2 linked regions of the Anolis sagrei genome follow. The protein of the gene in region 1 interacts with the protein of each later gene in a pairwise test. Links are inferred from orthologs where the notes say so. Each region holds a gene or a part of one and is shown in the gene's direction. Other genes may lie near its edges. The genes, in order: RBSN and EHD1.

The links.
Region 2: the proteins of RBSN (region 1) and EHD1 interact in binary tests that used the Homo sapiens proteins (3 or more experiments, as listed by UniProt). The link is inferred for Anolis sagrei from reciprocal best matches to the Homo sapiens genes RBSN and EHD1.

What each region holds. Positions count from the first base shown.
Region 1 is NC_090022.1:50,745,066-50,760,845, forward strand, and holds the start of RBSN (rabenosyn-5), read left to right. Parts: upstream 1-8,771; 5' UTR 8,772-8,932; intron 8,933-14,893; 5' UTR 14,894-15,041; coding exon 15,042-15,204; intron 15,205-15,780. UniProt on the Homo sapiens protein: Rab4/Rab5 effector protein acting in early endocytic membrane fusion and membrane trafficking of recycling endosomes. Required for endosome fusion either homotypically or with clathrin coated vesicles.
Region 2 is NC_090032.1:20,358,507-20,374,766, forward strand, and holds the start of EHD1 (EH domain-containing protein 1), read left to right. Parts: upstream 1-9,855; 5' UTR 9,856-10,041; coding exon 10,042-10,060; intron 10,061-13,438; coding exon 13,439-13,856; intron 13,857-16,260. UniProt on the Homo sapiens protein: ATP- and membrane-binding protein that controls membrane reorganization/tubulation upon ATP hydrolysis. In vitro causes vesiculation of endocytic membranes. Acts in early endocytic membrane fusion and membrane trafficking of recycling endosomes.

The sequences.
Region 1 (15,780 bases):
CAAGAATACGCCCAAATATGAACAAAGATGAAGTTTGGGGGAAATAGGCCTTGACATTTGGGAGTTGTAGTCACTGGGATTCACAGTTCACCTACAATCAAAGAGCATTCTGAACCCCACGAACGACAGAATTGGGGCAAACTTCCCACACAGAACGCCCATGACCAACAGAAAATATTTAAGGCCACCCAGTCCAACTCTCTTCACCAGGGCAAGAAAATGTAATCAGAGCCCTCCTGACAAAGAGCCATCCAGTCATAAAGATAAATAGAGAGATAGATAGATAGATAGATAGATAGATAGAGAGAGAGAGAGAGAGATAATGATTCTCACACACAGATATAGTATCATAGATTTGAAATGGACCCCTAAAGAAGGACTATGATATGTTGCATGTTCCAGAGTAGGCAAACCAGACACTCTCCACATCAACACTGACAAAGAAACAACAAAAAATACTGTTTACCCACAAGCATTGCTTTATTTTCCAGATCACTACACTGGGCCACAGCAACGCGTGACAGGGGATGGCTAGTAAATAAATAAATAAATAAATAAATAAATAAATAAATAGTATTCCACTTTAATGACCATACTGCATCCCATGGGATTCTGGAGTTTGTAGTTTAGTGAGGTCCAAGAGCTCCCTGGGTGAGAATTCTAAATACTTCTTCCTAAACTGTAACTTCTGGGATTCTGTAGGATGTTGGCCTGGAAGTTAAAATAGACTAATAGTGCTATAAAGGTGTAGTCTGATAAGGATTTTACTCTATAAAAGCTTCTGCAACCAACTTTGCTCTCTTAATTAATTGCCATCCACAGTTGTTAAAAATCAACAACAGTCATTCATATATTAATTTAGTTTCAGAAGACATACTCAATTTCATGCTGAAATTCTTTCACTGAAGCACTCTGAAACTGCTAGTTTGGGTCGGGCGAAAGAACACTTTGTTAAAACAACGTGCGCTTGATAGAAAACCTGGGTGAATTTACATAGAACATTGTTCTTATTCAGTGACTCATGTCATGGATGAACATTTTGTACTGCTTACAATACATTTTAATAGCAGTATTCAGCTCCTTTGGGAAAGTGACATCTACTCCTTCGGAATATATATACTTTATTTACTCCTCCTCACTCATAAGTATCCCTTATGCAGTTAAATTCCCAAAGGTATGACTACACAAGGATAGCACTGCAGAATGCTGAACTACTCCATTGTGTAACAGATGGTTTCAACTTATTACTGCAGTCCCATTGTTGGAGAACCAAAAAGGATGTTACTTTTATTGTACTGTTGGAAGTTGCACCTAGGTTAAGTAGGGTGTGTGGGGCGGGGGAAGACCACTTTAATAATACGTGAACTTGTTCTACATTTCATATGAATAGCTGGGCACTGAGAGATCCCAACCTTGCCCTCTGCAGCTGTGATCCCAACAAAATTCTTGCCCAGAACGCAGGGCAATTGGTACGGGAAGGATACCAATTGCACGGTTACCAATACTGTTAATTGCAGAGTATGTATAGTAATAATGATAATTACAGTATCAAGTGAATCCAGCGCTTTTCTTTTTATCTTGTGCCAAGTTCTAAGATTTGCCTAGAATTTATAGGAATAAATCTAGCACAGTTCGTCCCAACCCCACCTCTTAGATTCAAATCTCATGATTAGTAAACATGAAACCTTATTTTTCAAAACAAATAGCATTTTGATTTAGTCTGGCAATGTTTAGTGGCCTCAGCTACAATCTGGCTGTTTATTTCGGAAGTACCCAACGACACAATTGTATGAGCCAAAGCAAAATTATGACCCTTTTTAAAACAACACTGCTTCCATATTGCTTTTGTTGCTGAATCTTATAAACTATTTTTCTTTACAAGTGCAACCTGCAACAAACTGTTTCACTGTGGAGTGCTTCCATCCACTTTTCAAGCAGCTAAGCTCTCTTTTCTATCTCACTGCCTCATTGTTTCCATCTATTTCCCTCCAATAGGCAAGTCAGTGTTTTATGCCCATCAAAAGTGCTCCAACTTCACTTGGCTCCTTGAGATTCCTCCCTTCACAATGGTTTCCTTCAACAAAGATAGTAATAATATTCATCATCATCATCATCTTTATTTATGCCCCGCCACCATCTCCCTGAGGGGGACTCAGGGCAGCTAACATGAGGCCAAGCTCAAAGATACAACATAGTAAAATAAAATAAATATGCAAACAACAAAAATCATGTCACAATAAAATACATACAATAGCAAAATAAAGTAAACAAAGCAAAATAACATAATATAAAATTGAACACAGATATGTTGATGCTTCTGCATATTTTTGTTGTACCCTCCAGAGAGGATACATTTCAAGATGATCCAACGATACCTGAAATAATGGGTAATAGTGAACCCAATATTTTGATTATACCATACAGTCACAATAGAAGATATTGCTGTTGTTTATTTGTTCGCTTCTGACTCTTCGTGACCTCATGGACCAGCCCATGCGAGAGTTCTCTGTCGGCTGTGGCCGCCCCCAGTTCCTTCAGAGTCAAGCCAGTCACTTCAAGGATACCATCCATCCCTCCATCCATCTTGTCCTTGGTCAGCCCCTCTTCCTTTTTCCTTCAATTTTCCATTTTCATTGTCTTCTTCAAGCTTTCCTGTCTTCTCATTATGTGGCCAAAATACTCCATCTTTGCCTCCAATACTCTTCCCTCCAGTGAGTGGTTGGGCTTTATTTCCTGGAGTACAGACTGGTTTGATCTTCTTGCAGTCCAAGGTATTCTCAGAATTTTCCTCAAGCGCCACAGTTCAAAAACGTCTATCTTCCTTTGCTCACTCTTCCTTATTATGGTCCAGCTTTCGCATCCATAGGTTACTACAGGGAATACCATTGCTTTAGCTATGCAGATCTTGGTTGCCAGTGTGATGTCTCTACTCTTCACTATTTTATCGAGATTGGTCATTGCTCTCCTCCCAGTAGTAAACATGTATTTTTTGGAGCACGGATAAGTGACTGTGGCTATTGAATCGGTGGATAAAGAGTTTGTGCTGTATATGAATGCACCACTTCATAAAATTATCACAAGGCATTTCCAGGGATCCATTTCTGAAATGTTAGGTGAATTGATCCAGAATAATACCATCGGCATCCTGTCCATGAGGTTCTACTAGTTCAGATCGACCCAATCCAAGGCATAGACCAGAAAAATAAAAAAGGTTTATTTGCGTGACACAATGAAGGCAGCAAAGCTTTGTCCCATAACCAGGCCTGAAGCCAGATGGAAGTGAATCTAGACAGTGTGGTCTCCAAATTGTAGTCCTTCCAGGTGTTTTGGACTTCCAACTCCCAGAAGCTTCTGCTGCCTTGACCAATGGAGAGGGATTCTGGGAGATGAAGTCCAAAACACCAGGAAGACCAGAGTTGATAGATAATATGTTTCATGCAGGAACCCTGGAGCTGATAGTCAACAACGCACTCCAGGGCCATGTCCCAAAAAAGAATAATGGGAATTGGTTGGCAGTTATTCAGTGCCATGACTCTTATTTCAGTAATGGCCTCAACACAGCCTTTTTTAAAGCAGGAGGGAACACTGCCTTTATTCCAGTAGCCCTCCTTCTATATGTCATCAGAGCACTCAGTAATTGTACTAGACAAATTATTAGACGATATTGTTTGTGAGTAATCACTAAAGATGAGACTTTTGCTTCAAAAGTACTTATTCCTTTTGGTGAATGTGATACTATTTAAAAAGAAAAAGAAGCTAGTGTACCTTTGGGGACAAAGCAGAAATGGCAATTATGTACACAATAAACGTTTCAAATAGCCATACAATATCTAATATCTAAAGCAGAAGTTCTTAATGGCATCATTATGCCATTTATTTATCTGGTTATAATAACAATTTGCTCTTAGCCTTGCACTTTTAATATTAAGGAAAAGAACAATGTTTTTTTTAAAAACAATTAGGCCATATTCAGATTAGTCACAGGGGAAATTAAGGTCCCTTCCACACAGCTGAATAAAATCTCACATGATTTGCTTTGAACTGGAATATATGGCAGTGTGGACTCAGGTAACCCAATTCAAAGCAGATATTGTGGGGTTTTCTGCCTTTATATTCTGGGATATAGGACTGTGTGGATGGGCCCCGGGAATGGACTTCAGTAAGATCTATTCTCATTCCCCCAACTGTAGTCAAAACAATCTCCCCTATACAATTGTCCCTCCAGATCTGTGGATTGGACTTTGGCAGATTTGATTACAATAAGGCCCCTTCCACCCAGCTGAATAAAATCCCACATTTTCTGCTTTGAACTGGAATATACGGCAGTGTGGACTCAGATAACCCAGTTCAAAGCAGATATGGTGGAATTCTCTGACCTGGTATTCTGGGTTATATGCCTGTGTGGAAGGGCCATATGTAACATGATAAGTGCTCCTGGGCTGTGCATGTCATTTCCTAATTGATTATATCATAAAAACATGGAAAAGGTTTATTAAACTGCAAAAACTTTGTTTGAGAGCAGTGGTTCTCAACCTTCCTAATGCTGTGACCCCTTAATACAGTTCCTCATGTTGTGGTGATCCCCAACCATAACATTATTTTCATTGCTACTTTATAACTGTAATTTTGCTACTGTTATGAACTGCAATGTAAATATCTGACATGCAGCATGTATTTTCATATACTGGACCAAATTTGGCACAAATACCCGATACACCCAAATTTGAATACTGATGGGGTTGGAGAGTGGGGATTGATTTTGTCATTTGGTAGTTGTAGTTGCTGGGATTTATAGTTAACCTAAAATCAAAGAGCATTCTGAACTCTACCAATGATGGAATTGAACCAGTCTTGGCACTCAGAACTCCCATGACCAACAGAAAATACTGGAAGGGGTTGGTGGGCAATGACCTTGAGTTTTGGAGTTGTAGTTCACCTACATCCAGAGAGCACTGTGAATTCAAACAATGATGGATCTGGACCAAACTTGGCACAAATACTCAATATATCCAAACATGAACACTAGTGGAGTTTGGGAAAAGTAGACCTTGACATTTGGGAGTTGCAGTTGCTGGGATATATAGTTCATCTACAATCAAAGAGCATTCTGAACCTTTTCGATTAAATTGGGCCAAACTTCTCACACAGAACCCTCATGCCTTGAAGGACTCGCTGGAGCAAGCCTCCTTCCAGCCTCACACACTCTCCCTCACCTGCACATGCACACCATACTGCCATGCGCCAAGCACACCTGCTCTCCCCTCCCCACTTGGAGTCTCAGAAACAGCCCTCCCCTTGGCTGAGAGGCTGGCCAATAACAGTGGAAGAGGGCTTTTGGTGGAAGGATTTGCTGTGTGTTTCCAAAAAGAAAGAGAAGGACAGGTGGAGAGATCTTCAGCCTTCTCTGCCAAAGGAGTTCCTAAGACCATCAGAAATATATGTTTTCTGATGGTCTTTGGCAACCCCTCTGAAACCCCCTCAAGACCCCCAGGTGTCTTAACCCCCAGGTTGAGAAATGCTGTTTTAGAGAGACATCCTGTAGCACATTTTGCTATCGTTTTTCAATGAATATCTCATCGAGTCTCAACCAATTCAACAGATTGTGGCAACGACACAATTTCTGGAATATAATAACTACTTTCAAAGTAAGTACAGCATAATTAAATAGGAAATAACACTTTCAAACCTGGCAGTTAAAGCAATGGTATTTCCTGTAGTAACCTATGGATGTGAGAGCTGGACCATACGGAAGGCTGAGTGAAGGAAGATAGATGCTTTTGAACTGTGCTGTTGGAGGAAAGTTCTGAGAGTGCCTTGGACCTTGAGATGATCGAACCAGTCCATGCTTCAGGAAATAAAGCCCGACTGCTCATTGGAGGGAAGGATATTAGAGGCAAAGATGAAGTACTTTGGTCACATAATGAGAAGACAGGAAAGCTTAGAGAAGACAATGGTGCTGGGGAAAATGGAAGGAAAAAGGAAGAGGGGCCAACCAAGGGCAAGATGGATGGATGGCATCCTTGAAGTGACTGGAAGGAGCTGGGGGTGGTGACGGCCGACAGGGAGCTCTGGCGTGGGCTGGTCCATGAGGTCACAAAGAGTCAGAAGCGACTGAACGAATGAACAACAAACCTGGAACAGATTTTTTTTTCCAAATTCTGTTACATAGTGTTATTCATGACTTTTCTTAAAATGATTTTTTTAGAAAACGCTAGGTCCTCTAGTGTGATTCTATAGCCAACTTCTCTAGAGGCCCTTCCACACAGCCCTATATCCCAGAATGTCAAGGCAGAAAATCCCACATTATCTGAATGTGGACTCAGATAACTCAGTTTAAAGCAGATGTTGTGGGATTTCTGCCTTGATATTGTAGGATATAGGGCTAGTAGAAAGGCCGTGGGTCCTCCAGCATGACTCTATGGACAACTTCCACACTTTTATGGACAACACTTTTATGGACAAGGCACTCTCAGAACACATGTAGTCTATAAAAAAAACCTATAAACACAGATAGCACACATTACACCTGGCTGCTGTGTTGTAACTTAGGGCGCTTCCACAGAGCCATATAACTCAGAATATCAAGGCAGATAATCCACAATATTTGCTTTGAACTGGATTATCTGAGTCCACACTGCCATATAATCCAGTTCAATGTGGATTTTATATAGCTGTGTGGAAGGGGGCAACAGGTTTCAGGTTTGAATCCAGGAAGAGCATGGATGAGCTCCCCCTATCAGCTCCAGCTCCTCATGTGGGGACATGAGAGAAGCCTCCCATAAGGATGGTAAAGCATTAAAAAACCCCAAAATAAAACCAAAAAACCCCCAACCAAACAAAAAAAAATCTGGCCATCCCCTGGGCAAATCCTTGCAGATGGCCAGTTCTTTCACACCAGAAGAGACTTGCAGTTTCTCAGGTCGCTCCTGACACAACAAAAATAAATAAATAAAACAGATGATGATTATGACCTAAGTTTTCATATGAGCCTATGAAAATAAAAGAGCTATCCACCTACAATATTATAATGTGCCCAGGAATACTGGTCTCTACAAAGCTTTAAAAGTACTTATTGCATATATTTAGATTGAAGAACCTACTGTGAGATGCACAAAATACTTGTAAAATAACCACTACTTTCTATTTTTCATAAAAAGGGAAAGAAAAGTGGGGGGACAAACTGGGTAACAAAATTTGGAAAAACAAATTCTGAGAAATGGGGAATATTAAAAGCATCTGGAAAAGTAGGACTGCAGTGGTTTAAATGGGCCTGCCTTTGCAGGGGAAGGAATACATCCCACCCTGGGAGCGGCTTAAGGAGCTCGGCATGAATTTGGAGCGGAAGTGTCAACAAACTAGTCCAGTGTGGGCTAGGCAAAACTACGGTGAGGTGGATCTGTAATTGGTAAAATGGACGAACTCAGAGGGTGCTCACCAATGCTTCCTCTTCATCCTGGAAAGAAGTGACGAGCGGAGTGCCGCAGGGTTCCGTCCTGGGCCCGGTCCTGTTCAACATCTTTATTAATGACTTAGATGAAGGGTTAGAAGGCAGGATCATCAAGTTTGCAGACGACACCAAATTGGGAGGGATAGCCAATACTCCAGAGGACAGGAGCAGGATTCAAAACGACCTTGACACATTAGAGAGATGGGCCAAAACTAACAAAATGAAGTTCAACAGGGACAAATGCAAGATACTCCACTTTGGCAGGAAAAACGAAATGCAAAGATACAGAATGTGGGACAATGCCTGGCTCGAGAGCAGTACGTGTGAAAAAGGTCTTGGAGTCCTCGTGGACAACAAGTTAAACATGAGCCAGCAATGTGATGTGGCGGCAAAAAAAGCCAATGGGATTTTGGCCTGCATCAATAGGAGCATAGTGTCTAGATCCAGGGAAGTAATGCTACCCCTCTATTCTGCTTTGGTTAGACCACACTTGGAATATTGTGTCCAATTCTGGGCACCACAATTCAAGAGAGATATTGACAAGCTGGAATGTGTCCAGAGGAGGGTGACTAAAATGATCAAGGGTCTGGAGAACAAGCCCTATGAGGAGCGGCTTAAGGAGCTGGGCATATTTAGCCTGAAGAAGAGAAGGCTGAGAGGGGATATGATAGCCATGTATAAATATGTGAGAGGAAGCCACAGAGAGGAGGGAGCAAGCTTTGTTTTCTGCTTCCTTGGAGAGGAGGACGCGGAACAATGGCTTCAAACTACAAGAAAGGAAATTCCACCTGAACATGAGGAAGAACTTCCTGACTGTGAGAGCCGTTCAGCAGTGGAACTCTCTGCAGTGGAACTCTCTGCCCCGGAGTGTGGTGGAGGCTCCCCCCAAAATGGGCCTTTTTGGGGGAGAAGGAGGTCCCCACTTCAGGTTGGGAAGGAGAGCTGGAGACACAAGGATGTCTTCCAGACCCAAATCTTGTATCAGGCATGGGCCAACTTGGGCCTTCCAGGTGTTTTGGACTTCAACTCCCACCATTCCTGACAGCCTCAGCTTTTAAACAGAGGCTGGATGGCCATCTGTCGGGGGTGCTTTGAATGCAATATTCCTGCTTCTTGGCAGAATGGGGTTGGACTGGATGGCCCATGAGGTCTCTTCCAACTCTTTGATTCTATGATCCCCTCTTCCGCCTTTTGCCGCCTTGCTTCCCATCGATTGCTCGGCCCTCGCCGCCAGTCCCTGTAGCCCCGCCCCTTAATCTCAGTCGTCTTCAGCCGCGACCCCGCCCCCTACCGCTCTCTTGCGCGCGCACCCGCTCGCTGCCATCGGCGCTCGACTGGCGGCGCCTGCTGCTGCTGCTGCTGCTCCTTGCAGTTGAGGAGGGCCTCAAGTGGGGCCTGGCGCCTCGGGTCCGTCGGGGCGGGCCTCGCTGGCTTTCTTCAGTGCCGCCGCCCCTTCCTTCCTCCCTCCCTCCTTCCCTCCTTCAGGTGAGGGCCGCCTCCTCCGTGGCGCTTTGGTTTTCAGGGGGTGAAGGCATTTCCATTTGGGGGGGGGGGGGAGCAGCAGCAGAGAGTCTATTGATAACTACATCAAGGAGGCCTTTTTAGAGAAGGAGTGGTTGATGGTATTCCAGGCAGACCTATATAATCCCTATGGAAAGGCATTGCATAGATCAGGAAGGCCAAAATGGGCCTTTTGGGGGGGGGGGGGGAAGGTTGGGAAGGAGAGCTGGAGACACAAGGATGCCTTCCAGACCTAAAACATGTATCAGGCATGGGCCAACTTGGGCCTTCCAGGTGTTTTGGACTTATGCGGCTGAGGGGGAAAAGGAAAAGGCCTGAGGCTGTCAGGAATGGTGGGAGTTGGAGTCCAAAACATCTGGAAGGCCCAAGTTGGCCCACACCTGAAATATATCCTCTCCCCTTTCACCCCAAACCCTGTTAAGTGTTAGTTTTTAATGCATTCCCAATGTACCTTGGTTTGTATTTGAATGATGCGTGCGTCTTTGTCTGTTTTCAGTGTAAAAAGGAACCCCGTAGCACTTTGGAAAGCAAATCTACAAAAGCACTTTGGAAAAGCAAGTCTGTTTTGTAAGGTCTCTGACAGAGGACTGGGCAAAAAGTATGATAGCTGGGACCCTACGTATAGCTGGAACCCATATGCTGGTTGCGCAATGTGCGTCAGAATTAATGAAGGGAAGACCGAGGAAGGTTTTTACAAGGCCCTAGTGCAGGGGTCCTCAAACTTTTTAAACAGAGGACCAGGTCACAGTTCCTCAAATTGTTGGAGGACCGGATTATAATTTGAAAAAAACATGAATGAATTTCTATGCACACTGCACATATCTTATTTGTAGTGCAAAAATACACTTTAAAACAATACAATAATTATAATGAAGAACAATTTTAACAAATACAAACTTATTAGTATTTCAATGGGAAGTGTGGGCCTGCTTTTGAGATAGGATTGTTGTTATTGTGTGCTTTCAGGTAATTTCAGACTTAGGTGGACCCTGAGCGAGGGCCAGGTAAATTACCTCGGAGAGCTGCATCTGGCCCCCGGGCCTTAGTTTGAGGACCCCTGCCCTAGTGCGAACAGATCGGAAGGAACAGGACCCCCCCCCCCTTCCCCTAGAATCATAGAATCAAAGAGTTGGAAGAGAACTCATGGGCCATCCATTCCAAACCCCCTGCCAAGAAGCAGGAATACTGCATTCAAATTACCCCTGACAGATGGCCATCCAGCCTCTGTTTAAAAGCTTCCAAAGAAGGAGCCTCCACCACACTCCGGGGCAGAGAGTTCCACTGCTGAACGACTCTCACAGTCAGGAAGTTCTTCCTCATATTCAGATGGAATCTCCTCTCTTGTAGTTTGAAGCCATTGTTCCACGTCCTAGTCTCCAAGGAGGCAGAATACAAGCTTGCTCCCTCCTCCCTGTGGCTTCCTCTCACATATTTATACATGGCTATCATATCTCCTCTCAGCCTTCTCTTCTTCAGACTAAACATGCCCAGCTCCTTAAGCCACTTCTCATAGGGCTTGTTCTCTTCTTCTTATGCTTTCTGTCGCCTGCTTTCTGACACTGGAGGAGCCAGGGCTTCATGAAGGCAGGGAAAGCACATCTACACATTATCGAATGAATGCCATTTCACCCCACTTTACCTGCAAGGTTTTGCAAGATCTCTGACAGAGGACTGGGCAAAAGTATGATATCTGGGACCCATATGCTGGTTGTGCAATGCGCGTCAGAATTAATGAAGGGAAGTCTGCTTGGACTGCTCCCAACTCGAAGGGCGAAAAGTGTGCTGGCGACTGGGGAAGGTTTTTACAAGTGGATTCCCCCCTTCCCCTCTTCTTGTGCTTTCCCCCGCCCACTTTCTGACAGTGGAGGAGCTGGGGCTCCGGGAGGGCAGGACGTGTGATCCGTAGACCCCTCCTCTTCCCTCCCTTGCAGCTGCGCCTCTCGCTGTCTCATGCATGTGTTCCCTTCATGAATTCTGACCCGCAGTGCACAACGAGCGTAGGGTCCTAGCTATCATACTTTTGCCGAGGACTGGTGCCATGCCAAATTGCGATCCCCACAAAGAATCTCCTGACAACAAGAGCTGCTTAACAGTGGAAGTATCTGTCAAAGAGTGCTGGTGCCTAATCACATGCAGCTCCTCTATTTCTGTAGCGATTATTCATGCCAGTTAAAGGGGTGTCAAACTGCATTAATTCTACAGTATAGAGCATGGTGTCTTTGCTTCGTGCATCTGATGAAGTGGACTAGAGGGCAAATTTGTTTTAGTGGGCGAACCTCAGATTACCTCTACACCAGGCATGGGCAAACTTTGGCCCTCCAGGTGTTTTGGGCTTCAGCTCTCACATTTCCTAACAGCCAGTTGGCTGTTGAAGACTTTCATAGCTGGAATCACTTAGCTGTTGTGAGTTTTTTTGGGCTGTATGACCATGTTCCAGAAGCATTCTCTCCTGAAGTTTCACTCACATCTGGACAGCTAATAACTCCCAACAAAGCATTCCCCCAGACAGGAAGCAGCCAGGCTTTGTGGCTGCAAGGCTGTTCAATTCCAATCAAGGTCACCAATTGCAACATTCACACCTGCCTCAAGCAGACAAGGGTTCGTTCTCCCACCCTGGACATATATAAATAAATCCCATTTGCCTAGTTCCCAACAGACCTCACAACCTCTGAGGATGCCTGCCCTAGATGTGGGCAAAATGCAGGAGAGAATGCTTCTGGAACATGGCCATACAGCACAGAAAACACACAGCATCCCAGCCACTCAGTTGTTAGGAATTGTGGGAGTTGAAGTTCAGAACACCCGGAGGGCCGAAGTTTGCCCATGCCTGGTGTAGAGGTACTCTGAAGCTGCATAAGCTCTCATGCCCTCCAGTCCACTACATCAAGTGCATGAAGCAAAATCATACCTATGGTTGGAAGGAGAATGTGAATTAGAATAGAAATAGAGCCGCTTTGAGTCCCCTTCAGGGAAGATAAAGCAGAGTATAAATATAATAATAATAATAATAATAATAATAATAATAATAATAATAATATAAATGCAAGGCATGTCAGCTGGATGGCAGATATCTCAATGATAGCACAAATACACAAATATTGGTATCGTATTCAAGCCATATGCAATCCTCACCTTCCCACCCTTTTCATTCACAGGATGTATATGTATGCCTTCTTTGAACAGTCCCGTCGATAATATCTTTATTACGTGAATTTAAAAGGCACTGAAATCTGTGCACGTTTTCTAGACCCACCACACCCCTTTCTTGATGCAACAATAACAATAATTAGGTTATGGAAGAGGAAGCAGTTTGGATTTTCATGGAAAATGAGTTGACCTTAAAGACATATCACTTTTCATGTCATACTCAAATGTTACAGGGGGAAGCAACTGCAGGCTTTTAGATCAGGGATTTATTTTACAGCTTGAATGGTGAATTGGCTCTTTCTTGCTCTGTCTTTGTAATTGAGATTAGATATGAGAGTTATGTGTTTCAAAAGAAAGGCCTGATAGATCAGAAATAGTTTCCACTCTGCTGAAGACTGAAACAAGAAAATCATTCCCCACTCCTGCCCAGCCTTTAGGGCAGTGGTTCTCAACCTGTGGGTCCCCAGGCATTTTGGCCTACAACTCCCAGAAATCCCAGCCAGTTTATCAGCTGTTAGGATTTCTGGGAGTTGAAGGCCAAAACATCTGGGGACCCACAGGTTGAGAACCACTGCTTTAGGGGGAGATAGCACCTATCCCATTTCTCTCTGTTATGCACATGTGGAGGAATCTTATCTGAACAAAAAAGGGAGGTAACCTGCATTTGCTGTTGCCCAAACCTGTTTGTGTAGTGTGGCCTCAATTCTCCCTCTTTACCTGCTAAATTAGATATGTACTCCATTCTAACCAGACAGGAATGAAGTTGAAGTGGTTGCCCATTTGGGTGATAAAATGGTTTGCATAATTTTCTATGGCAAACGGAAAGACACATTTCTTACATTTTCCTGTGGGTCATTTCAGAAAGAAGGGCAATATAGCCATTAGATGGTTGGGTTTGAACATTCCTCTTGCTTGATTTTTTTTTTACTTAAAGGTGATAAAACCTATTCTTCCACCTTGTCTCCATTTGATCAGAGATGTATCAAGAAAAGCAAAGAGAAGAACTCTGCTTTCTTTAGTAATTGTTAAAACCATTTTGTGAGGGGTTGCCTAATAGAATATGAGTATGTCAAAAGCTGTGAGTATGCAGTGATTTGTGTATTGGGCAGAAAGTTTCCTCTGCAGAAAGCTGTGATGATGCAAGAGGCAAAGGCTATGGTAGCAGTTACTATTTAGGGTGTAACAGCTATTGTCTTTAAAACGTCAAAAGACTTGTCCTGTTACAATTGTATTAAACTACTGAATTGGCACCCCAGCTTGATGCTTGGTTCTATCAAAATGCATATTGCTTGTAAAACCCCCCCCCCCCTTCGAATTAATCACTTAGACCAGAGTTTCCCAAACTGCCCCCCCCCCCCAATGTTTTTGTGCTCCCACACTTACAGCTGGTAAGGTGGCCGGGATTTCTGGGAGCTGAAGTCCAAAACACCTGGAGGAGCACAGTTTGAGAAACACTGACCTAAGCTATATTTTACACCCTAAATCTCACTATTACTAATTGGAAACAGAATATTTATCTTATACATTTTCAATATGCATTAAACGTAAAGATGCATAGTTTACAAATATGTAGAACCATATATTTCAGCTCATAATAGCCTGTTTTGCAGAAATAAAGACCTTAAGGATATTGCCATTTCTTCAGGTATCTTGAAAACGAAATGAAATGTGTTTAGGATAGCAAGAAAAAATTGATTGAGATGGTGATGTGTAGGAGTACTCTTTTTTTCTAGACTGATTTTTCTGAAATTTAGAGAATTGTAGTGAAATTTGTGACTTCTTCTAGGGCTATAGTAAGTCATATCAGTAGTAATCTGCACGTCATCATGGATATGCTGTAATCCATGGCAGCTTTTACAGTTTTTATTTTGCTTGTAAAAAGACTACTCTTTATAAGAGGAATATGTTAAATAAATAGTATAATTGAATGGATTTCTGACATAAGGAGAAATGCCCAAATTGGAAATATTAGGATGAGTCAAGGCTTAGCCACGCTTGGAAAAGACCCACTGATATCTACATGTCTTAAATTTGACTTACATCTGATTTCAACAAGTTTGCTTTAGGCATGATTGATCTGGAATCTCACCTATTGTGCATATGGGTGGGTTTGTGACATAAACAGTTATAAATTTATAAAGTAGGAGAAGCTAAAATAGTCAAATATTGTGCAAGGACAATTTTGTAAAGCACAACTAACACTTTCTTCTTGTCTGGTCAGCTGCACATTTATTTCTCTCATTTCTGCTACAGTTACAGATCTGCCCCACCCTAACGTATTTGTTTTTCTTGTATAGCCAGTTGCCTAACTGGAGTAGATCAAATATGTTGAATGTTTACTAGACAAGGTTAAAGGCCCAGCTCATCCTAGGAATGTTTGCTGGATGCGTCTTCATTTATCCACGTATGTCTATTTTAAATAGCTTTTCTGTTTTTATCTTTTACACAATTCTTGTGGATTGTTTCATACTAGCCCTGCAAGTTGTATCATATGCACATTCTCTTGAAAGCAATAAGCCACTTGCACATTCAATAAATTTCTCTGTAAACATATTAATGGGACACTACCTGAGCTCCACTAAGGGTTACACTTTTTCTACAAGGTTTAGTAAAGTTTTAAAATATCCATAAAAAGGTTTTTTTTGTTGGTAATTAATTTGAAACCATGCAGTTGTTCCAGCATAGTAACATAATACTACTGGAGATAATGGTTTAAAGGATTAATCTGAGCAAAATAGTTTATCCTGTTTTTAAAACTTATATCTGGATCTCTTTCAGGACAATCTTTTGTACAAATTGAAAAGGCAAAGAGCCTTTTTCCTCATTATTAGTCCAAATTCATGGTCATCCTGCTGCATGGCATACTGTTGCTCCCCTGCTACTGAGATCTGGAGAGTGTCATTGACCTTGGCATTCTTGGACCACTATGGCATCAAGCTACACACCTCCATTTGATGACCCTGGCGAGGTGAGAGAAGGCTTTCTGTGTCCTCTGTGTCTGAAGGACCTGCAGTCATTTTATCAACTTCAGTCTCATTATGAAGAAGAACATTCTATCGAAGACAAAGATGTGAAAGGACAACTCAAAAGTAAGAAATGCTATAGCTGTCCTGATTTTTCAGGAGTAAATATGGGACAGTGTTCGATATTTATGACTTGTTGTCATATGAAATAACTATGCATTGTGCAACAATAGGGTGGAAGCCATAATTTCTATGTTTTATACAATTATCAGTTAGAAAAATGTCTTCTGTATAATGGAAAGGAAAATATCATTTGCACAAAGTTGAAAATAGTTAACAAATACAACAGTTGTCATTTACCTCTGATGGGTCTTGGTACAACTGTTAGATTATATTGTATTGTATTATATTATTTATTGCACTTATATATCGCTTTTCTCACCCCTAGGGGGACTCAGAGCGGTTCCCAACATAATCACATGCCTTACATGTATAAAACAACAATGACAATAGATTTAAACTTTTATAATGATACTAGCTGTGCCCTGCCACGCGTTGCTGTGGCCTATAGTAAAACTTATCAAAGTTGAGGTAGATATCTGGACTATTATGAAAGAGAGGTACCTACCTATTCCTTCCCCCTTTTCCTCCCCCTTTCTCTCCTTTCTTCCTTCTCTACCTCTTTCTTTCTTTCACTACTTG
Region 2 (16,260 bases), on another chromosome or scaffold:
AGAGAGGGAGGGAGGGAGGGAGGAAAGGAAAGAAAGAGAGAAAGAAAGGACCAAAGGTGGGAGGAGAGTGGGAAACCGGGACGTTTTAAGAGTGTCTTGGGAAAGTGGGACGGCGGAGGATGACTAGAGAGGATTCCTGGTCTGGGCGAGTGGGCCAAGGGGCTGGGATCCGCTGGCCCGGCCTTGCGTTGAACTTTGAGTCCGTGCGCAGCTTATCAAATATTTGCTGCCGGGGAATCATTAACTTCCCAAAGGAAGGCCGGCAGGATGTTGTCCCTTCTCCCTCGGGCCTTTCTTGGGGTTCAACTCTGACTGGAAGGGCCCGGCTTCAAGGTGAGCTCCTTCCGCTCCTCTTCGCCCCTCGATTCCTTGGCTTGGATCCTCTCTATGGTGTGTCTGCACTATAGAGTTAACCCAGTTTTGTATCACTTGAACCACCATGAGTGTGGAATCGTAGGGAGACTGCCAAACAACCCCCCTCCTAGGGTTCCATACCAGCGAGCCTTTGCATTGAAAGTAGCGTCAAACTGGGTTAACTCCACAGTGTAGATGGGAAATATTGCTAAGCTAGGATTTGATTATTGTTTGTTTGTTTGTTTATTGTATCAGGTGTGCTTGCTTCATCTTTTCATTACTGGCTGCTACTTCCCGACGGATATCAGGTAGAGTAGCAAAGCGCAAGGGCAGATGCCGTAACTGTGTCTGGTTGTGAACCCCAGGTTGTGCTAGTCAGCTTTCCTACGATATTATTTCTAGCACCCACTTTTTGCTTTGTATTCAAGCAGTGCTTCTTGTCAATCAATCAATCGAAAATAGTTTATTGTACGGGCCCAAGGACATGACAAAAAGCACCACATGCGCACATTAGTACCCTCGGAGAAACAAGCACCTAAAATGCTAAACAGAAACCATTTCAAAGCTCCCTTCTTGGGTGGTGATGACACGATCGTCAGCATAGATGGATTAGGAATCAGCTGGTTTCCCCTGTAATAGGCAGTAAGAGAACATAAAACTTCGGAGAGCTTCTGCTCAACCATTTCAAAACTCCCTTCTTGGGTGGTGATGGCATGATCGTCAGCACAGATGGTGATGGCACAATCATCAGCGTAGATGGATGAGGAATCAGCTGGTTTCCCCTGTAATACGCAGAAAGAGAACATAAAACTTCGGAGAGCTTCTGTTCAACCATTTCAAAGCTCCCTGCTTGGGTTGTGATAGCACTATCGTCAGCATAGATGGATTAGGAATCGGCTAGTGTTCCCTGTAATAGGCAGTAAGAGCACCCAAAGCTTCAGAGAGCTTCTGTTCAACTATTTCAAAACTCCCTTCTTGGGTGGTGATGGCATGATCGTCAGCATAGACAGATTAGGAATCAGCTGGTTTTCCCTGTAATAGGCAGTAAGAACACCTAAAGCTTCGGAGAGCTTCTGTTCGACCATTTCAAAGCTCCCCACTTGAGTGGTGATGGCACGATCGTCAGCATAGATGGTGATGGAATGATTGTTGTGGCATGAGTGGTGATGGCACGATCGTCGGCATAGATGGATTAGGAATCAGCTGGTTTCCCCTGTAATAGGCAGTAAGAGCACCTAAAGCTACAGAGAGCTTTGGTTCAACCATTTCAAAGCTCCCTTCTTGGGTGGTGATGGCGCGATCGTCAGCATAGATGGTGATGGCACGACCATTTCAAAGCTCCCTGCTTGGGTGGTGATGACAGGATCATCAGCGTAGATGGATGAGGAATCAGCTGGTTTCCCTTGTAATAGGCAGTAAGATCGCCTAAAGCTACAGAGAGCTTTGGTTCAACCATTTCAAAGCTCCCTTCTTGGGTGGTGATGGCACGATCGTCAGCATAGATGGTGATGGCACGATCATCGTGGCATGAGTGGTGATGGCATGATCGTCAGCATAGATGAATTAGGAATTAGCAGGTTTTTCTCTCTCATAGGCAGTAAGAGCACCTAAAGCTTCAGAGAGCTTCTGTTCAACCATCTCAAACCTCCCTTCTTGGGTGGTGATGGCACGATCGTCAGCATAGATGGATTAGGAATCAGCTGGTTTCCCCTGTAATAGGCAGTAAGACCACCTAAAGCTTCAGAGAGCATCTGTTTGCCCACTTCAAAGCTCCTTCTTGGGTGGTGATGGCATGATCGTCTGCGTAGATGGATTAGGAATCAGCTGGTTTCCCCTGTAATAGGCAGTAAGACCACCTAAAGCTTCAGAGAGCATCTGTTTGCCCACTTCAAAGCTCCTTCTTGGGTGGTGATGGCATGATCGTCTGCATAGATGGATTAGGAATCAGCTGGTTTCCCCTGTAATAGGCAGTAAGACCACCTAAAGCTTCAGAGAGCATCTGTTTGCCCACTTCAAAGCTCCTTCTTGGGTGGTGATGGCATGATCGTCTGCGTAGATGGATTAGGAATCAGCTGGTTTCCCCTGTAATAGGCAGTAAGACCACCTAAAGCTTCAGAGAGCATCTGTTTGCCCACTTCAAAGCTCCTTCTTGGGTGGTGATGGCATGATCGTCTGCGTAGATGGATTAGGAATCAGCTGGTTTCCCCTGTAATAGGCAGTAAGACCACCTAAAGCTTCAGAGAGCATCTGTTTGCCCACTTCAAAGCTCCTTCTTGGGTGGTGATGGCATGATCGTCTGCATAGATGGATTAGGAATCAGCTGGTTTCCCCTGTAATAGGCAGTAAGACCACCTAAAGCTTCAGAGAGCATCTGTTTGCCCACTTCAAAGCTCCTTCTTGGGTGGTGATGGCATGATCGTCTGCGTAGATGGATTAGGAATCAGCTGGTTTCCCCTGTAATAGGCAGTAAGACCACCTAAAGCTTCAGAGAGCATCTGTTTGCCCACTTCAAAGCTCCTTCTTGGGTGGTGATGGCATGATCGTCTGCATAGATGGATTAGGAATCAGCTGGTTTCCCCTGTAATAGGCAGTAAGACCACCTAAAGCTTCAGAGAGCATCTGTTTGCCCACTTCAAAGCTCCTTCTTGGGTGGTGATGGCATGATCGTCTGCGTAGATGGATTAGGAATCAGCTGGTTTCCCCTGTAATAGGCAGTAAGACCACCTAAAGCTTCAGAGAGCATCTGTTTGCCCACTTCAAAGCTCCTTCTTGGGTGGTGATGGCATGATCGTCTGCATAGATGGATTAGGAATCAGCTGGTTTCCCCTGTAATAGGCAGTAAGACCACCTAAAGCTTCAGAGAGCATCTGTTTGCCCACTTCAAAGCTCCTTCTTGGGTGGTGATGGCATGATCGTCTGCGTAGATGGATTAGGAATCAGCTGGTTTCCCCTGTAATAAGCAGTAAGACCACCTAAAGCTTCGGTGAGCTTCTTTTCAGCCATTTCAAAGCTCCCTGCTTGAGCGGTGATGGCATGATCGTCTGATATTTTCACAAATCCCGATGACATCTAGACATTTGATGATCCAACAATGGGGAAGTGAGTCAAATACTTTATTATTATTATTATTATTATTATTATTATTATTATTATTATTAATATTTGAAACACAGCAAGATGAGTCCACAGCAGACAAGATCACTCTACAGGCTGTTGTTATTATTATTATGATTATCATTAGCATCCTTGTTGTTGTTGTTGTTGTTGTTGTTGTTGTGAACGTCTTCTCCAGGTCATGAATGCCACCAACACGTATGGTGCTCATCGGCTGTAACAGCAACTCCATATGGAAGCAGTCTGGCCATTCCAGTGGAGGGGCTGTTATAGTAGGTGGGTGCTGCAAAGGATTCTGGGAGATCAAGACCACCCAAGGTGCTTTGAATCCATCAGACATACATGTGAGCATCATGTGCAGGTTGGTGTATTTCCAATGGCAGCATCAATAAGCATGTTGCTTGCTTGCTATAGCGGGTATTCACCACCAGGTGGCGGGCTTGGGCAGTGTTTTGCTTTGAGGTCCATTCTGATTATAATATAATATAATATAATATAATGGAATATAATATAATATAATGGAATATAATATAATATAATATAATATAATATAATATAATATAATATAATATAACATAATATAATATAATGCAATATAATATTATATAATGTAATATAATATAATGCAATATAATATAATATAATGCAATATAATGCAATATAATATAATATAATATAATATAATGCAATATAATATAATAATATAATATAATATAATATAATGCAATATAATATAATATAATATAATATAATGCAATATAATATAATATAATATAATATAATGCAATATAATATAATATAATATAATATGCAATATAATGTAATATAATATAATATAATGCAATATAATATAATATAATATAATGCAATATAATACAATATAATACAATATAATATAATATAATATAATATAATATAATATAATGGAATATAATGCAATATAATGCAATATAATGCAATATAATATAATGCAATATAATATAATATAATATAATATAATGCAATATAATATAATATAATATAATGCAATATAATGTAATATAATATAATGCAATATAATATAATATAATATTGTGCATACATATAATATTTATAACATTATAATAAATAAATAACAGTAATAAATAAATATAATACTACTAATAATATGTTGTATATCCATATAATATTTATAATATTATAATGCAATACAATATAATAATAATATGATATTATAATTATATATATTTTATATTGCATGTAATATTGCTAATAATATCACAATATAATGGTATAGTAAAATATAGTGATATATAATACAGATATTATACTATGCTAATAATATAATATAATATACAATTTAGTGATATATACTACTGATATTGTACTATGCCAATATTATAATTTAATATAATATAAAATATAGCAATATATAATATTGATATTGTTCTATGTTATTAATATATAATATACAATTTAGTGATATATAACACTGATATTGTACTATGCTTATAATATAATATAGTATAATATATTGTATATCCATATAATATTTATAATATTATAATGCAATACAACATAATAATAATATGATATTATACTTATATATATTTATATTGCATGTAATATTACTAATAATATTACAATATAATGGTATAGTAAAATATAATGATATATAATGCTGATATTATTCTATGCCAATAATATAATATAATATAATATAATATAATGACATAGGCAGGGCTCTTAGATATGTGTACACTGGGATGTCTTTGGTGGAGGAAACACATACAATCTAGGATGGAATTGTCCCCGAATGAAAGCCTTCATGTGGGTGGTGGGCAGTGTGGTGTTGGTGGAGGACATTGGCAGGGCTCTTGGATATGTTTACACTGGGGTGTCTGCGGTGGAGGAAACACATACAATCTAGGATTGAATTGTCCCTGAATGAAAGCCTTCCCTTGGGTGGTGGGGAGTGTGGCGTTGGTGGAGGACATTGACAGGGCTCTTGGACATGCTTACACTGGGATGTCTGTGGTGGAGGAAACACATACAATCTAGGATGGAATTGTCCCTGTATGAAAGCCTTTCCTTGGGTGGTGTACAGGATGGTGTTGGTGGAGGACATTGGCAGGGCTCTTGGACATGTTTACACTGGGATGTCTGCGGTGGAGGAAACACATACAATCTAGGATGGAATTGTCTCCATATGAAAGCCTTCACTTGGGTGATGGGCAGTGTGGTGTTGGTGGAGGACATTGGCAGGGCTGTTGGACATGTTTACACTGGGATGTCTGTGGTGGAGGAAACACATGCAATCTAGGATGGAATTGTCCCCAAATGGAAGCCTTCCCTTTGGTGGTGGGCCATGTGGTGTTGGTGGAGGACATTGGCAGGGCTCTTGGACATGTTTACACTGGGGTGTCTGTGGTGGAGGAAACACATACAATCTAGTATGAAATTATCCCCGAATGAAAGCCTTTACTTAAGTGGTGGGCAGTGTGGTGTTGGTGGAGGACATTGGCAGGGCTCTTGGACATGTTTACACTGGGATGTCTGTGGTGGAGGAAACACATATAATCTAGGATGGAATTGTGCCCAAATGAAAGCCTTTACTTAAGTGGTGGGAAGTATGGTGTTGGTGGAGGACATTGGCAGGGCTCTTGGACATGTTTACACTGTGATGTCTGTGGTGGAGGAAACACATATAATCTAGGATGGAATTGTGCCCAAATGAAAGCCTTTACTTAAGTGGTGGGAAGTATGGTGTTGGTGGAGGACATTGGCAGGGCTGTTGGACATGTTTACACTGGGATGTCTGTGGTGGAGGAAACACATACATATTTTCACATATTATTATTATTATATATTATTCTATATAATATAATAATATATGATAAAATAAATAAAATAATAATATTTATAATATAGAATATATATTTATAATATATAATGAGATAATTTTTGTTTCCTCGCAGAGTCGTCTGTCATGGGACTTTTTGGGGCCGAGAAAGTGTCACCCTTGCTATCTGAGAAGAATGGCCCTCTTTGATGCAAACCAACTCATATGACTTCAGGCTGTAGAGAGACGTTGTTTACAAAGCTGTCATTGTGAGATTTCGGCCTTAGCAGCAAAAAGGGGAAATATAGTGCTATCACTAAAGTAACGAGAGGAAAAAGAGTATTTCCAATATGGGTTTAATATTGGAAATACTATTGGAAAGAGTGTAGGAAGCACCCACACGCTTGCATTAATGCGGTTTTGCCACCACTTTAACTGCCATAAGATCTTGGGATGTGTAGCTTTGTTATTTTGACCTTTATTATGATTATTTTATTTATTTACTTATTTAAAAAGGGAATATTTAATTTATTATTATTATTATTATTTTTTAATTATCAAAATAATTTATTATTTTTACCTTTATCATTATTTATTTATTTATGTTAAAATTAATTATTATTTTTACCTTTATTATTATTATTATTATTAATTTATTTATTTATAAAAAAGGATTTTTAATTATTTTAATTATTTTTATTATGATTTATATTTAATTATCAAAAGAATTTATTTTTTACCTTTATTTGTTTATTTATTTATAAAAAGAATTCATTATTTTTACCTTTATTTTTATTTATTTATAAAAAGAATTCATTATTTCTACCTTTATTATTATTATTATTTATTAATTAAAAGTATTCCTTATTTTTACCTTTATTTATTATTATTTTTATTAAAAGAATTTATTATTTTTACCTTTGTTGTTATTATTTATTTATTTATTTAAAAGCATTTATTATATTTACCATTATTATTATTGGGTTATTGTAGGTTTTTCCGGGCTATATGGCCATGTTCTGGAGGCAATTCAAGAAGAATTCGTTACTTTTGTCTTTATTATTATTTATTTATAAAAATAAATTATTATTTTACCATTATTATTATTATTATTTTATGTATAAAAAGAATTCATTATTTTTACCATTATTATTATTAATTTATGTATAAAAAGAATTCATTACTTTTACCTTTAACATTATTTATTTATTTATAATAAAGAATTTATTCTATTTACTTTTATTATTATTTATTTATAAAAAGAATTTATTATTTTTTACCTTTATCATTATTGATTTATTTATAAGAAGAATTCATTATATTTACCATTATTATTATTATTATTATTTATTAAAAGAATTTATTTACTTTTATTATTTATTTATAAAAAGAATTGATTATTTTTACCTTTATTGTTATATATTTATTAATTAAAAGAATTCATTAAATTTACCATTATTATTATTATTATTTAATTATTTTTATTATTTATTTATTTACAAAAAGAATGGATTATTTTTTTACCTTTATCATTATTAATTTATTTATAAAAATGTCATTAGTTGTAGTAGTGATATCGAGCTCTTTTGGGAGGGTCTTCCCAGCAGGGAAGATCCCTGGAGATCGCAAAAGGGATCTTTGACCTTGGTGAGCTGCCAGCAAAAGCCAATCCAAAGCGCAAAAATATTAAGAATTAATCCCACCAGAGGCTGAAGAGGTATCCAGTGACTGAAGCGTTTATTTTGCGATTCAGCTGAAAAGGATGCATTACAGGGATATTTCCTCTATAAGCATACAGTACAGTGAATTTCAGGCATATTTATACAGGCAAAACAAAGAAATCCCGGTTTGAATCCCCCGCCCGCCTCCTGTCAGTTCCCTCTGTCCTGATTGGCCGGCCCCGGAACAGCTGGGAGGAGGCTTGGTTGCTGGTCCCACCCTCCCTCCAATCGCCGGCCGCTGTTGCCTCCAGAGGACCAATCAGAGCCCTCGGAGCGCCTCCGGAGATTGTCCAATCAGCGGCCAGGAGGCGGGCTCTAGTTTGACAGCGCAGAGGGGCGGAATGCCTGGGAGGCGTCTGCCAGCTGATGGAACACCTTTTGTCTCTTCCCGGCAGGGAGGCGGATGGGGAGAACAAGGGATTTCCTGGGTCCTGATAAAAGATGTGTATAGGCAAAAAGGGTGGCTATGGGTGGTGTCTGGATCTCAACCCTGTAGGCAAAGGAAATCCTTTGACACAAGGGAGCATACACAAGCACCATGATTGATTTAATCAGTCTGTTTTTCCGGGCTTTTGGCTGACAAAATCTCTGGCCCTTGTTTGTCTGACTCTGAAAAACAAAGCCATAGATTTGCCAGCATTTGTCCATGCATTGTCAGTATGGATGGAGTTTCTTCCAAGGAAATTGGATTTCCTTAACTGTAATCCCCAGGTCACATATTCTTTTATAGGGTAAAGTTCAAGAGGGGGAAGGCAAGGAGAGGGGTGAGGGTACATCTTATTTCATTTCACCTCATTACATATCATATACTTCATATATATATTCTTCACAGTCTTTCATAACTCATAGATTTCATAGGAAAGATCCCCATCCCAGCGAAGTTTATTAGAAAACCCACAGCAATTAATAAAGGCAATCAGCAGAGTTCCTGAGGTATGATCCTTTGCAACAAGGGCATGCACCCACAGGCGGGGGCCATACTTCAGAAGCGGCTTGGCTTTTGGAGTTCAGGGAGGAAGTCCGTGATGCTAGGGCATTAAGTCAATCAGTGAGGGCAGAAAGGTTCGCAAAGAGTCCGCAAATGGTGGAGAGTGGGGCAATGTCCTTTGGAGAACTACATTTCCCTGATCAGGGGCCAGGGTCCAGTGCACAAGCCAGAGAATTCACAGAGAGGAAACAGGAACCCAGTTATGTGCGCTGGGTCAGGAAGCAGCAGAATCCATTTTCCGGCCCTTGGCGAACTTCAAATACTTGGGGGGGGGGGGGGGGAGATGCTCTGCATCAGTAGTAGTAGTAGTAATTATTATTATTATTATTATTATTAATTATGATTATTATTATTAGTTGTAGTAGTAATTCTGGGAGTTGGAAGTCCAAAACACCTCTTAGTTGTAGTAGTAGTAGTAATTATTATTATTAATTATTATTATTAATTATGATGATGATGATGATTAGTAGTAGTAATTCTGGGAGTTGGAAGTCCAAAACACCTCTTAGTTGTAGTAGTAGTAGTAATTATTATTATTAATTATTATTATTATTATTATTAGTAGTAGTAATTCTGGGAGTTGGAAGTCCAAAACACCTCTTAGTTGTAGTAGTAGTAGTAATTATTATTATTAATTATTATTATTATTATTAGTAGTAGTAGTAATTCTGGGAGTTGGAAGTCCAAAACACCTCTTAGTTGTAGTAGTAGTAGTAATTATTATTATTATTATTTATTATTATTAATTATGATGATTATTATTAGTAGTAGTAATTCTGGGAGTTGGAAGTCCAAAACACCTCTTAGTTGTAGTAGTAGTAGTAATTATTATTATTAATTATTATTATGATTATTAATTATGATGATGATTATTAGTTGTAGTAGTCATTCTGGGAGTTGGAAGTCCAAAACACCTCTCATGCGAAGAAGGGAAGGAAATTCTCAAGGTTCTAGAACCCCGGTTCTAGAACCCGGCCCTGTTCACAAAGAAGCCGGGTTCCGGCTCAACCGCTGATGCTGAAAGAACACATGAAGGAGCCGAAATGGACGAAGGGACCTCAGGTGACCCTCCGAATTTGTGTGTTTCAGTAGGAATTCAATGGGGTGAACTACCGATTCCAATAATACTCATTCTATTCCAATAATAAGCCGGAAATGAAAGGGGAAGCCTCTACCTTTGTGTATTTACATGTTATTGTTATTCCACTGTCTCCAAGGCATTGAAAGTTTGCCTTTCTGTGTATATTCTTGGATTATCAAGTGTCTAGATGTCATCGGGGTTTGTGAAAATATTAGAAAAAGCCAGTCAAGGCTTGAATACAGCGGAATAGCGATGATATGACAAATACACAAAGGTAAAGGCTTCCCCTTTCATTTCCGGCGTGCTGAAGGCAGTGCTCAACTCTGGCCAGGAGGAGGCGCTCGCGTTCCATTTCCAAGCCAAGGAGCCTGTTGTCTGTAGACACCTCTTGGCCCAGGCCTCCCTTAGAAGTTACTTTTTTCAGACCTCCAGCCCTTGGAAGTTACTTTTTAGGACCCCCCCCATTCCTTTGGAAGTTACTTTTTTCAGACCTCCAGCCCTTGGAAGTTACTTTTTAGGACCCCCCCCATTCCCTTGGAAGTTACTTTTTTGTACCCCCATTCCCTTGGAAGTTACTTTTTAGGACCACCCATTCCCTTGGAAGTTACTTTTTAGGATCCCCCCATTCCCTTGGGAATTACTTTTTAGGACCCCCCATTCTCTTGGAAGTTACTTTTTAGGACCCCCCCATTCCCTTGGAAGTTACTTTTTAGGACCACCCCCATTCCCTTGGAAGTTACTTTTTAGGACCCCCCATTCCCTTGGAAGTTACTTTTTAGGACCCCCCCCCATTCCCTTGGAAGTTACATTTTAGGACCCCCATTCCATTGGAAGTTACTTTTTAGGACCCCCCATTCCATTGGAACTTACTTTTTAGGACCCCCCCCATTCCATTGGAAGTTACTTTTTAGGACCCCCCCATTCCCTTGGAAGTTACTTTTTAGGACCCCCCCATTCCCTTGGAAGTTACTTTTTAGGACCCCCATTCCATTGGAAGTTACTTTTTAGGATCCCCCCATTCCCTTGGAAGTTACTTTTTAGGACCCCCCCATTCCCTTGGAAGTTACTTTTTAGGACCCCCCATTCCATTGGAACTTACTTTTTAGGACCCCCCCATTCCATTGGAAGTTACTTTTTAGGACCCCCCCCCCATTCCCTTGGAAGTTACATTTTAGGATCCCCCCTTTCCATGGAAGTTCATTTTTTTTAGACCTCCAGCCCTTTGAAGTTACTTTTCAGGACTCCCATCCCATGAAAGTTATTTTTAGGGCCCCGTCCCCCCATCCCATGAAAGTTACTTCCTTTAGACCTCCGGCCCATGGAAGTTACTTTTTTTAGACATCCAGCCCTTGGAAGTTACTTTTTAGGACTCCTATTCCATGGAAGTTACTTTTTAGGATCCCCCCATTCCATGAAAGTTCCTTTTTTTTAGACCTCCAGCCCTTGGAAGTTACTTTTTAGGACTCCTATCCCATGGAAGTTGCTTTTTAGGACCTCCTTCCATCCCATGAAAGTTACTTTTTTAGACCTCCATCCCTTGGAAGTTACTTTTCAGGACTCCCATCCCATGAAAGTTACTTTGCTTAGACCTCCAGCACTTGGAAATTACTTTTTAGGACTCCCATCCCATAAAAGTTACTTTTTTACACCTCCATCCCTTGGAAGTTGCTTTTTAGGACCTCCCATCTAATGAAAATTACTTTTTAAAGATCTCCAGCCCTTGGAAGTTACTTTTTAGGAACCCCTTCTCTTGGAAACTCCTTTTTTCAGACCCTCCAGTCCTTGGATATTAATTTTTAGGACTCCTATCCAATGGAAGTTACTTTTTAGGACCCCCTTCCATCCCTCGAAAGTTACTTTTTTCGATCTCCAGCCCTTGGAAGTTACTTTTTAGGTCTCCTGTCCCATGGAAGTTACTTTTTATGACCACCCATCCATTAAAGTTACTTTGTTTAGACCTCCATCCCTTGGAAGTTACTTTTTAGGACTCCTATCCCATAAAAGTTACTTTTTTTAGGACCCCCATCCCATAAAAATTACTTTTTAAGACCTCCAGCCCTTGGAAGTTACTTTTTAGGACTCCTATCCCATGGAAGTTACTTTTTGGCACCCCCCCTTACATCCCTTGGGCGGGAAGAATGACGTCAGAGAAGTGGGCGGGGATTGTACAATTAATGGGCGGGGCTTTGACAAATGTTGAGGAGAAGGGGAGCCAATCAGCAGCCGGTTTTAGCAAAGGGGCGGGAAGAATGACGTCAGAGAAGTGGGCGTGGACTTGCATGTCCGAGCAGTGGGCGGGGTTTTTAAAAATGCTAAAATCAATGGCGGGGCTTTGAAGAATGTTGAAGAGACGGGGAGCCAATCAGCAGCCGGTTATAGCAAAGGGGCGGGAAGAATGACGTCAAGAAGTGGGCGGGGACTTGCATGTCAGATTAAAAATGTAGATAAATGGGCGTGGCTTTGAAGAACATAGAGGAGAAGGGGAGCCAATCAGCAGCCGGTTGTAGCAAAGGGGCGGGAAGAATGACGTCAGAGTAGTGGGCGGGGATTTTAAAATCCCTTGGAAGTTACTTTTTAGGACCCCCTCGTTCCATGAAAGTTACTTTGTTTAGACCTCCATCCTTTGGAAGTTACTTTTTAGGACCCCCCCATCCCATAAAAGTTACTTTTTAAAGACCTCCTCCCTTGGAAGTTACTTTTTAAGACTCCCATCTCATGAAAGTTATTTTTAGGACCCCCATCCCATAAAAGTTACTTTTTAAAGACCTCCATCCCTTAGAAGTTACTTTTTTTAGACCTCCATCCCCTGGAAGTTACTTTTTAGGACTCCCATCCCATGAAAGTTCCTTTTTATGACCCCCTTCCATCCCATGAAAGTTCCTTTTTTAGACCTCCAGCCCTTGGAAGTTACTTTTTAGGTCTTCTATCTCCCATGTAACTTCCATCCCTTGGGCGGGAGGAATGACGTCAGAGAAGTGGGCGGGGATTTTAAAAATGTAGATAAATGGGCGTGGCTTTGAAGAACATAGAAGAGAAGGGGAGCCAATCAGCAGCCGGTTTTAGCAAAGGGGCGGGAAGAATGACGTCAGAACAGTGGGCGGGGACTTTCATGCTTGAAGTCAGAGCAGTGAGTAAGGATTCAAAAATGCTGGATCAAGGGGCGGGGCTTTGACTGCTGTGGAGAAATGGGCGGGGACAGAACGTTGAGGAGAGGGGGGAGCCAATCAGCATAGGGGGGCGTGGCCGCTATAAAAGGCAGGTCCCTCGGCGGCGTGCGTCCAGTGAGGCGTGAGGCGCCGCGGGCGGAGGAGCTCCGGCGAGTGAGTGAGTGAGACAGTGGTGTTATTTCCTTCCCTCAGTGGGGGGCTCGACGATGTTCAGCTGGGTGAGCCGGGACGCGCGCCGTCGCAAGGAGCCGGAGCTGTTCCGCACGGTGTCGGAGGGTCTGCGGCAGCTGTACGCGGGGAAGCTGCTCCCGCTGGAGGAGCAGTACCGCTTCCACGAGTTCCACTCCCCGGCGCTGGAGGGCGCGGACTGGGAGAGCAAGCCGATGGTGCTGCTGGTGGGCCAGTACTCCACCGGGAAGACCACCTTCATCCGCCACCTGCTCGAGCAGGACTTCCCCGGCATGCGCATCGGGCCCGAGCCCACCACAGACTCCTTCATCGCCGTCATGGGCGGGGAGGCCGAGGGCGTCGTGCCCGGGAACGCCCTCGTCGTCGACCCCCGGCGCCCCTTCCGCAAGCTCGGCGCCTTCGGGAACGCCTTCCTCAACAGGTGAGACTCCCACAAGGCTTGGGCCTGCTCTTCAATGTTTTGGACTTCAACTCCCACAAGGCCTAGCGGGCCAGGACCCTTCCAGAGGAAGGGTCCTGGGCCGCTAGGCCTTGTGGGAGTTGAAGTCCAAAACACCTCGAAGGCCCAAGTTGGCCCAGGCCTCCCTTGGAAGTCACTTTTTTCAGACCTCCATGCCTTAGAAGTTACTTTTTAGGGCCCCCATCTCTTGGAAGTTACTTTTTTAGATCTCCATCCCTTAGAAGGTACTTTTTAAGACCTCTATCCCTTGGAAGTTACTTTTTTAGACCCCCATCCCTTGGAAGTTACTATTTTAGACCTCCAGCCCTTAAAGTTACTTTTTAGGAACCCCATCTCTTGGAAGTTACTTTTTATAGACCTCCTATCCCTTGGAAGTTACTTTTATCAGACTTCCAGCTCTTGGAAATTACTTTTTAGGAACTCCACCCTTGGAAGTTACTTTTTATAGACCTCCTATCCCTTGGAAGTTACTTTTTTCAGACCTCCATCTCTTAGAAGTTACTTTTTAGGGCCCCCATCTCTTGGAAGTTACTTTTTTAGATCTCCATCCCTTAGAAGTTACTTTTTAGGACCCCACATCCCTTGGAAGTTACTTTTTAGGAACCCCACCTCTTGGAAGTTTACTCTTTTCAGACTCCAGCAATTGGAAGTTTACTTTTTTCAGACCTAAATCCTTTAGAAGTTACTTTTTAGGAACACCATCTCTTGGAAGTTACTTTTTAGGACTCCTATCCTATGGAAGTTTTTTAGGCCTCTCCCCTTGCATATTACTTTTTAGGACCCCCATACCATTGAACTCCATCCCTTAGGAGTTACTTTTTCAGAACCCCATCCCTTGGAAGCTCCTCTTTTTGGACCCCCATCCCTTAGAAGTTACTTTTTTTCAGAACTCCATCCTTTAGAAGTTACTTTTTCAGAACCCCATCCCTTGGAATCTACTTTTTTCAGACCTCCAGCCTATGGGAGATACTTTTATCAGACTTCCAGCTCTTGGAAGTTACTTTTTTCAGACCTCCATCTCTTAGAAGTTACTTTTTAGGGCCCCCATCTCTTGGAAGTTACTTTTTATAGACCACCTATCCCTTGGAAGTTACTTTTTTAGACCTCCAGCCCTTAGAAGTTACTTTTTCAGACCTCCATCTCTTAGAAGCTACTTTTTAAGACTTCCATCCCTTAGAAGTTACTTTTTAGGACTCCCCCCCCCCCCCCCAATTCCTTGGAATCTACTTTTTTTAGATCTCCAGCCCATGGGAGATATTTTTATCAGACTTCCAGCTCTTGGAAGTTACTTTTTAAAGACCTTCAGCCCTTGGAAGTTACTTTTTAGGACTCCTATCCCTTGGAAGTTACTTTTTTTAGACCTTCAGCCCTTGGAAGTTCCTTTTTTCAGACCTCCAGCCCATGGGAGATACTTTTACCAGACTTCCAGCTCTTGAAAGTTACTTTTTAGGACTCCCATCCCATGAAAGTTACTTTTTTTAGACCTCCAGCCCTTGGAAGTTAGTTTTTATGAACCCCCCCCCCCCCCGTCCCATGAAAGTTACTTTTTTAAGACCTCCAGCCCTTGGAAGTTAGTTTTTATGACCCCCCCATCCCATGGAAGTTACTTTTTTCATACTTCCAGCCCTTGGAAATTACTCTTTAGGACTCCTATCCCATGGAAGTTACTTTTTTAAAACCTTCAGCCCTTGGAAGTTACTTTTTAAGACTCCTATCCCATGGAAATTACTTTTTAGGACCTCCCCCCCATACCATGGAAGTTACTTTGTTTAGACGTCCAGCCCTCAGAAGTTACTTTTTATGATTCCTATCCCATGGAAGTTATTTTTAGGACCCCCATCCCTTGGAAGTTACTTTTTAGGACCCTTTTCCCATGGAACTCACTTTTTAAAGGATCCCTGTCTCTAGGAAGTTACTTTCAGGACCCCCATCCGGTGGAACTTACTTTTTTCAGACCACCAGCTCTTGGTAGTTCCTTTTTTCACACCCTCCAGCCCTTGGAAGTTACTTTTTCTGGCCCCAACTCTTGAGGATTCGAAAAAGTACCTCCCGCCCCCTTAATTAACCATTTTTCCTTTCTAAAGAAGTTCCAAGTGATGGAGTGTGGAAAAAGTAACTTGGCTGGAGGGGGTTCTTATTTCTACTACTACTAAAGATGTCCTGAATATGACAAACTCTTTAAACTAGGGAGAAAAAAAACAAACAAATAGGTAAACATAGCAATAATAATAACAACAACAATAATAATAATAATGGTAGTAGTAGTAGTAATAGTAGTTCTGGAACTGGACAATCTGAACAAAAGTAACCTTTTCTTCCACAGTATCATAGAATCCTATAAGTTAGGAAGAGACCCCAAAGGCCA